Canis lupus familiaris: one gene and its partner. The protein of the gene in region 1 interacts with the protein of each later gene in a pairwise test. Links are inferred from orthologs where the notes say so. Each region holds a gene or a part of one and is shown on either strand. Other genes may lie near its edges. The genes, in order: MYPN and ANKRD1.

Region 1 (3,826 bases):
CACTGGAGGTAAAGGACAGAAACACTAAGGAAAACAGCATATGGTCAGGAAAATCTGGAGCCTTGTTTCCAGGGATTACTTATGCTACAAATTCTACAATATTTGGCATATACTTTTGACTGAAATATTGTGTTATGTTTCAAATTAGATTTTATCAGTTTCCACCTTGGGAAATAAATCAAGAGTTTGGTTATTAAAAAGTAATACATTTTTAAAAATAATCATGTTATGAAATGTAAAAGTAAATAGCTCAAATAACAAAATAGTCTATTTTTTTTTAATTTGATGCTCACTTATGGCTTTTCTTTCTCTCCTTCAGTGTGAACACTCACTAGTGAGCAAAGAGTTGTGTGGGTTGAACCACAGGATATTGACTAATGGCTATTTTACATGATTCAACTGATGTTGAATGTAAAGATTGAAAGGAACTGGTGAATAGACCTCTAGCACCTTAGATTGTAGAAGTCAAATAAAGGACAGCGTGGAACCCTAGAGTTAATTTCAATCTAGATCTTCTCATACATTGAAATATATCAAAGATGTGATGGTGTTTGTCAATACTGAGCTGAGGGTTGCTGGAATGGCCAACAGACTATCTAATCTCTCTTTCCTTAACATATTTCATCCTACATAAAAACATATAAACAGTTACATTGAATTAACTACTGGAGTAATCAAGAACGGTAGATCCATGTAGGTGAGTTTCCTGTATGACCTTTGGTTAATCTATGCTCTATCTTCTAACACTGCAGGGTCAGCCTCACTGAGGTCTGGTGGCCCAACCATCCAAGGACTGAATTAAGTGAAATTGTATTTCTTGTATTGAAATTCCAATAAACCATTTGAGCCCAACAATCTTACCTGCTGGTTTGATCTGACATCACTGAAATTCATTTTTTTCCCCAAGTCTAGAATCACTGCATTCTTAGTTTCACGAATGTAATCATCATTCACTGGTTGGGGAGACTTTGTGTTTTTCTTCATTAGTCCCTGGGATGGCCTGTAAAATAAAGTCACAGCTGACACACCCATGAAAAGCCCTTGCCAGTACCCGAAAGCCTAGGAATCAGGGTGGCTGAAATGGCAGTCAGATACCAGGAGTCATCAGGCACTTAGGCCCCAACGTTGAGCACTGCACAGAGAATCTGTGTTTGTAGAGGGGTTTTCAGTATTTAAGTTATTGAAAATGATTTAAAGTAATCATGCCCTTTGCTCTAAAGTGTTCAAAATCCGTTTAGTGTCTATGAGGGTTATCTAGGAATCCACTCAATGAGAGTCCTGTCCCAGATGAAGCTATTCTAGGCATAGGTCCTTTCTTAAGTGACATCTTTTACTTCAGAGATCTTAATGACACTTACACAGATGGTGCACTTCTGGGCAGCCCCATGGCATTAGTGGGCGGGATGGCAGGGAGAGAAGGCAGGACCGAGCTGAGGAAAGCCACCGGGTTCTGAATCCGGCTGGTAGGAGAGACTGGAGCTGGGGAAACACAGCGAGGCTGAAACTGGTTTCCACTGGAGACAGCAAATGTGAGTGGTGGTTGTGCTGGCTCTATGGGAGCCGGAGGGGGTGGCTCGCTTTGGATGGACGCTCCTCCCAAAGATTTGGTTTGCATGGAGGGGTGAGAAAGTAAGAGGCTCTCTTTGCTCACTGTCCTCTGAATGGTTTGAGGTGTGCCGCTCAGGGTGAACACTGGAGAGCTGGAAGGGGACGCGCTTGCTGCTGCTGCGGTGGCACTTGGAGAAGGGAAGAAATGCTTGGGCCGGGCCAGGCTGAATGTCTGTGCCGGTGGGGCCTTCACCTGCTTGCCGGACGCTGTCACCGCCGGGGAAGCAGTGGAGTTCAAAACGCTCATGTGGAAAGGAAACTCCTTAGGAGATGAAGGAGACGGGTTTTGCAACTGCTGTTGTTCCAGTAAGACTTGGTTGTGAAGCTGTTGCAGCTGACTGGAATCACTGCACACGAGAGTGGGGAGAGAAAGAAGGGAAATCTGTCACCCTTGACCTCACTCATCAGAAAATGTGTAGGGGCACCTGGGTGCCACCTGGCTCAGTGGTTGAGCGTCTACCTTCCACTCAGGGCATGATCCCGGAGTCCTGGGATCGAGTCCTGCATAGGGCTCCCCATAGGGAACCTGCTTCTCCATCTGCCTCTGCCTCTGTCTCTGCCTCTGTGTCTCTCATGAATAAATAAATAAAATCTTAAAAATAAAATGTGTATACAGGCTATTTATAACTTTATGCTGACTCAGAACACACAACCAGAGTTGCCAGGAAGGAGCTCATCAATTCTTTGTGAGCTGTTTCTCCTTTCTAAATCTGTTTGTGAGGAAAAGGGGAAAAGCCCTCATAACGCACAGCTCCAAAAGGCATCGTTTACATTATATTCTTTGTGTTGTGACCCTACAACATGGCAGCCCAATTCTAGAGTGTTTATAAGTTAGGAAAAGAAATTGAAACAATGCTCCTCTGTTGGGAGTGCCTAAAGTTCTGGTAGGAGCAAACTGTATCTCAGCTTTGGGACAGAAGGCAGCGACATAAGTAACTGAGTGTGTTGTATTCTTCATTCTGCTTCAATTTATTTATTTATTTTAAAAAAGAGTTTAAAAAAGAGTTTCACCACTGAGTGGGGAGCCCGACACCAGGCTCAATCCTAGGACCCTGAGATTGAGATTTGAGATCACAATCTGAGCTGAAGGCAGATGCTTAACCAACTAAGCCACCAGGTGCCCCCATTCTGCCTCATTTTAAAGCAAACCTTAATAAAACTGCTGGATGTGTCTTGGTGTTTCTAATCCTCTCTCAACAACAAAGCATTATAGATAAGGTGATCATATGTCCCAATACATCCTCGAGTCTTGGTTTATGCCTGTTTTCCTGGCATAATTATTAATAATGCTCTTTTACTTTAAAAAATATCAGGGTTTGAATGGTAGATTATATGGCCACCCTAGTTAGAAACATTGCCTTACATGTGATGTGATGAGCGCTGGGTGTTACATGTTGGCAAATTGAATTTAAATTTCAAAAAATTTTTAAAAATTAAAAAAGAAAACAAAAGAAAAGAAAAAAGAAAAGGAAAGAAAAGAAAAGAAAAGAAACATTGCCTTAGACTTTAATTGTTCCTAAGGGGAAAGAAGAAAAGCTGGAAGTACTTTTTTCTTTCGTAGGAAGCTGAGTTGCAGAAACATTATATGATTTGCCTACAATCTATTTATCTTAATAAAATGGTTAATTATTTTTTTTAAGATTTGTTTATTTATTTGAGAGAGAAAGAGCAAGCAACCACAGTGGGGAGGGGCAGAAGGAAGAAGGAGAGGGAGAGGAGACTCCACTAAAGAGGGAGCAAGCCCGAGTGGAGGTTGAGCCAAAATCAAGTGTTGGACACTCAACCTAAGTGCCCCTGGTTAATTATTTCTTAAGAAAGAAAATGGAAAATGAAAATCTCTAAAAATCTTATACGCATAAAGTCATCAGGGCTGCTAAACTTTGCTGTTTAGAAGTATTTACCCTCAAATGAATAACAACAGGAAATTCCACAAGGAAGACTGGTGTTTCAAATCTACCACAGCTTTACATTCTTTGGATTGCTGCTGTAACATAGGTGATCTGCTGAACATGAGATCTATTAAAAATGAAAAGTTCAGTATTTTTATAGCATCAGGAAGGTCAACAACACCAGTGATAATAAAGTTGAATCAGGAGGTTCTCCAAACGTTGATTTTTCTGAATTCTTGGAGTTTAAGATCTTTTTCCTTTCTTTCAGTAACATTTCTGATACACAATATATGGAAAAGTAACTTCACAAACAGACCCTATTTGCTGTC
Region 2 (3,716 bases), on another chromosome or scaffold:
TCTGAGTAGTCCTCCCCTCCTTACAACAGCATAACATGCTACCACTTTCTTCCAGGGCCAGCCATGCTTTTGCCTATATTTTTGAGATAATTTCTATCCATTCTCCACACTGGTTTATCTGCATATCCCTCAAAATAATTCCCTATATTTAGGCCCTGAAAATGCTCGTATAAGTCCCTTCTACAAGTACGTGTTAATTTAGCTTCATCTGCAAGCCAGGGAATAGAGCCAACTTTTCCTCATGGTCCCAATTCCCAGGCAAACATCATCTAATGTAAGCTTTAAAAATATCACTGGGAGGAATGGATATAAATTCCTGAAGAAATAATTTGAAAGATTTGGTAGAGAATCACTTTACAAGGAAGGAAAAGAAAACCCCAGTCATCTTATATTGAGAATAATTTCTTCCCCTTATTGCGTTACTATGAGACTTAGAGGAATATTTTATCATAAAAAGCCCCACAAAACTGTCTTGGTGATAGGAACAAAGAATAGAAGCAATAAATAGAGGCTGCTTGGATGGTAAAGTGTTAATAGTAGGGTCCTCTCATCCTTAATATAGGGATTGGCCTTATCTAATAATTGAAATAAATAAGCAGAAAAAGAGTAGATTTAATGAAATCTCTGAAACTGCAGAAAATATTAAAATTGTTTTCAGGCAGTGAGACACTACCAGCAAAGAGAAATAGCATACAGATTTGGGGAGACTGTATAAGTAGCCAGAAATCAGGAGATACATTTTAATAGAGAGGAGTTGAAGGAATTATGGAAGAACAGATAAAAATATACCAATGAGGCTGGGGGCTTTGAATATCAGTTAAACCCCAGCATTAGGGTCCTGAAACATTGACCTAATGGCTGGATGTTCCCCAAAAGACCACTAGCCATTGAACCTCATCTTGAAGGGAATCGGAAACAAACACACAATACATTATTCTATTGTTGTCCAAAATTCTGTCATTATGTGTAGTGATGAGTGTTTCTCGAGGAACATGCTGTAGAGGTGGGAAGTTCCAAAACAAAGGTTACAGGGCCACTAATTCAAATAAGCAATAAGTGCAGGGGTCAGGCAGGTCACCTGAATTACATAAATGGTGGCTGCAGGGATCTGTGCACATGATTATAAAGGTGGTGGCTCTGCGAAGCCACAGGTATCAGGCTGGCCAACTCTTCTGATTTTTTCCAGAGAGTTCACAAATTCACTTGGGAAATCTCCTAATTTCCAACTATTGACAATTAATTCCAACTTAAAAAAAAAAAATCTCACCTCTGTTTGGGCCCAAACAAAACAGGTCTCTAAACTGATTTGCATCTCAAAGCTGCCAGTTTGCAGTTTGAGTTAAAGAGACTTCTAAACGGATAGGGGTAGAAAAATATAAGACTTCTCATATTTAAAGACAAGAATTGAGAGGTGGCATCGGATTAATTTTTGTACATGTCTTGAGACCTATGCATAAGGGAAAAGAATTTTGGTCTCAAAAATTACTTTACACATTATTGATGTCACCTCCAAGAAACATGAAATTTCCCAGGAGATCCCAGTGTGAAAACGCCACACCTTGGAGCAGTAAGAGTTCTGTACGGCACCGGAGGACTTCAGCCAAGGTGTCAAAGCAGCTCTTTTACTATCAGTTTTTATCAATCAGGAATCATTTTCCAAATTGATAGGAACTGGTTCTTGTTCACTATCTTCCCATGCCCCTTCTGCAGGATACCGGAGATGTATAGAGGCATTTTTTGAATTTTGAAATGAGTTGGCATGCTCTTGCAATTTACCGTCTAGGGACTGGGATTTTTTTAAACCAATACCTGGAGTAGTCCCACAGAGGGGAAAAAACACACAAAAAACAAAAATATTGCTAATCTGAAATGCCAAACACATTCCTGTGAGAAAGAGTGAAGGGCTGATTTGAATATAAACTGCCAATCAGTCATAGTGGAAAGCATAAAACGGTTCAATAACATACACCTATCCATTACCTCATTAAAAACACGCCCACAGAGGATGTGTAGAATTTATAGATGCCTCCCATCTGGAAGTCAAATTTCCTCATGTATTTTGATTAGGCTGGGAAGACCCCAATGGATCTGGTGCTACACTGGCAGAATGGAACCAAAGCAATATTTGACAGCCTCAAGGAGAACTCCTACAAAACCTCTCGCATAGCCTCGTTCTGAGGGAAACAATGCCAAGCTCATCAGTTGTTCTTCACCAGCATTTTGAAGACACAACCCCAAAGAAGAGTAACTAGTCATAAAATCCAGCTCCTACCCACCTGTTGTAAAGCTGCACCTAATGAAGTTTTAAGAAAGCACAGGGATATAGGTATGGAAATTTTCCTTAGCGAAACTCACTCTATTTATTTTTATTTATTCCTGTTTATTTATTTATTTATTTGCTTCCATACCACTGGTATTCAGATCCTTCATGATGATCCATTTGGTGAGCTTAATTTGTACATAACACTCCAGAAACTTCCTGTAGATCATTCTTAAACCATGTTAACGAGCAATGCTGTCAATGCCTACTCATGTGCACCTCGCTCATGGAAGATATTTCAAGGTGTTTTTAAAGGACAAGAGTGATTATTGCAGCCCTCTTCTGAATTTTTAACGCTGAAGTTTGAGGCAACAGGGGGCATGTAGCGACAGGAAAGGAAACTGCAGAATGAAAGGCATTCTGTGAGAAGGACAGTAAAGCCAGCTGTTTGACGCCTGGGCCTGGTATCTTTTACCAAGTCACACATTGTACCAAGGTGAAGAGAATGTCATGAGTGTAAGTGGCGTGTTGTGGCAGGTGCGGGCCACTGGGCCATGCAGAAGTGAATTTGCTGGAAAATGATGAAAGTGACTGCAAAGTGTAAATGTGTAAATGTATATTATGTTGTATGTGTATTTTATATTCATAATAAAAGCAAATTATAAACCCCTTTCTAAGTGCTTCTGTAAGTATGGTGGGAAAACCATGTGAAAGACAGCCATTTGGATGGAGTTTTTTGTCTTTCAGTTTTTTCAGATTAGAAATGTCCTATAAAATAGCACCTTTCAGCATTTACTGTGTACACGGACCGCCTGAGGATCTTGCTAAAATGCAGATTCTGATTGCCCCCATTGTGGATGGGGCCTGGGACTCTGCATTTCTGACAAACTTCCAGATGATGCAGAGGTGGTGGTACATCACAACCACACTTGGAGCAGCAAGGCTGTGAAGACCATCAAGATAGGGAGTTCACCTTCTTTTGGCCACAGTGGTGGGGAGAAAGAGACCCCTGGTGGGAAGAGTGATCACTGCAAGCTAAACAAGTGCACCTTAAGGAAGTGCCCATCAGGGCTAATCTGAGGTCTAACAATTACTGTGGACACCCGCTGTCGGTGTCAAAGGATGCCCACGAGAAGATACACCTGGCCAATGATTTGTTGACCTCTGAGGGGAGCCATTTTGTTACCAGGTGCTGGACCAGGTGTTAAGACCTGTGATGAGAAAACTAGCTTGCCCCTGCCCTGCCTTTCCAGAACAGATGAATACTAAAAAAGTAATCCCAGAAATAAATACATAGTAATGATCTGCGGTAAGTACGATGAAGTAGAAAACAGAGTGCCGTGAGAGTCTCAGATGCAAAGGCACATCATATGATGGGGGAGGGGTGGTAGGAGGGGATTCTACAAAGGTTTCGCTGAGGTGGTGACTTTTTGGGGCAGTCTGAAGGGTACACTTG

What was found.
Region 2: the proteins of MYPN (region 1) and ANKRD1 interact in a two-hybrid assay, tested with the Homo sapiens proteins (2 studies listed by BioGRID). The link is inferred for Canis lupus familiaris from reciprocal best matches to the Homo sapiens genes MYPN and ANKRD1.

What each region holds. Positions count from the first base shown.
Region 1 is NC_049225.1:20,158,135-20,161,960, reverse strand, and holds part of MYPN (myopalladin), read right to left. Parts: intron 1,956-3,826; coding exon 1,359-1,955; intron 1,001-1,358; coding exon 862-1,000; intron 1-861. UniProt on the Homo sapiens protein: Component of the sarcomere that tethers together nebulin (skeletal muscle) and nebulette (cardiac muscle) to alpha-actinin, at the Z lines.
Region 2 is NC_049249.1:5,750,175-5,753,890, reverse strand, and holds the end of ANKRD1 (ankyrin repeat domain-containing protein 1), read left to right. Parts: intron 1-2,067; coding exon 2,068-2,178; 3' UTR 2,179-2,932; downstream 2,933-3,716. UniProt on the Homo sapiens protein: May play an important role in endothelial cell activation. May act as a nuclear transcription factor that negatively regulates the expression of cardiac genes. Induction seems to be correlated with apoptotic cell death in hepatoma cells.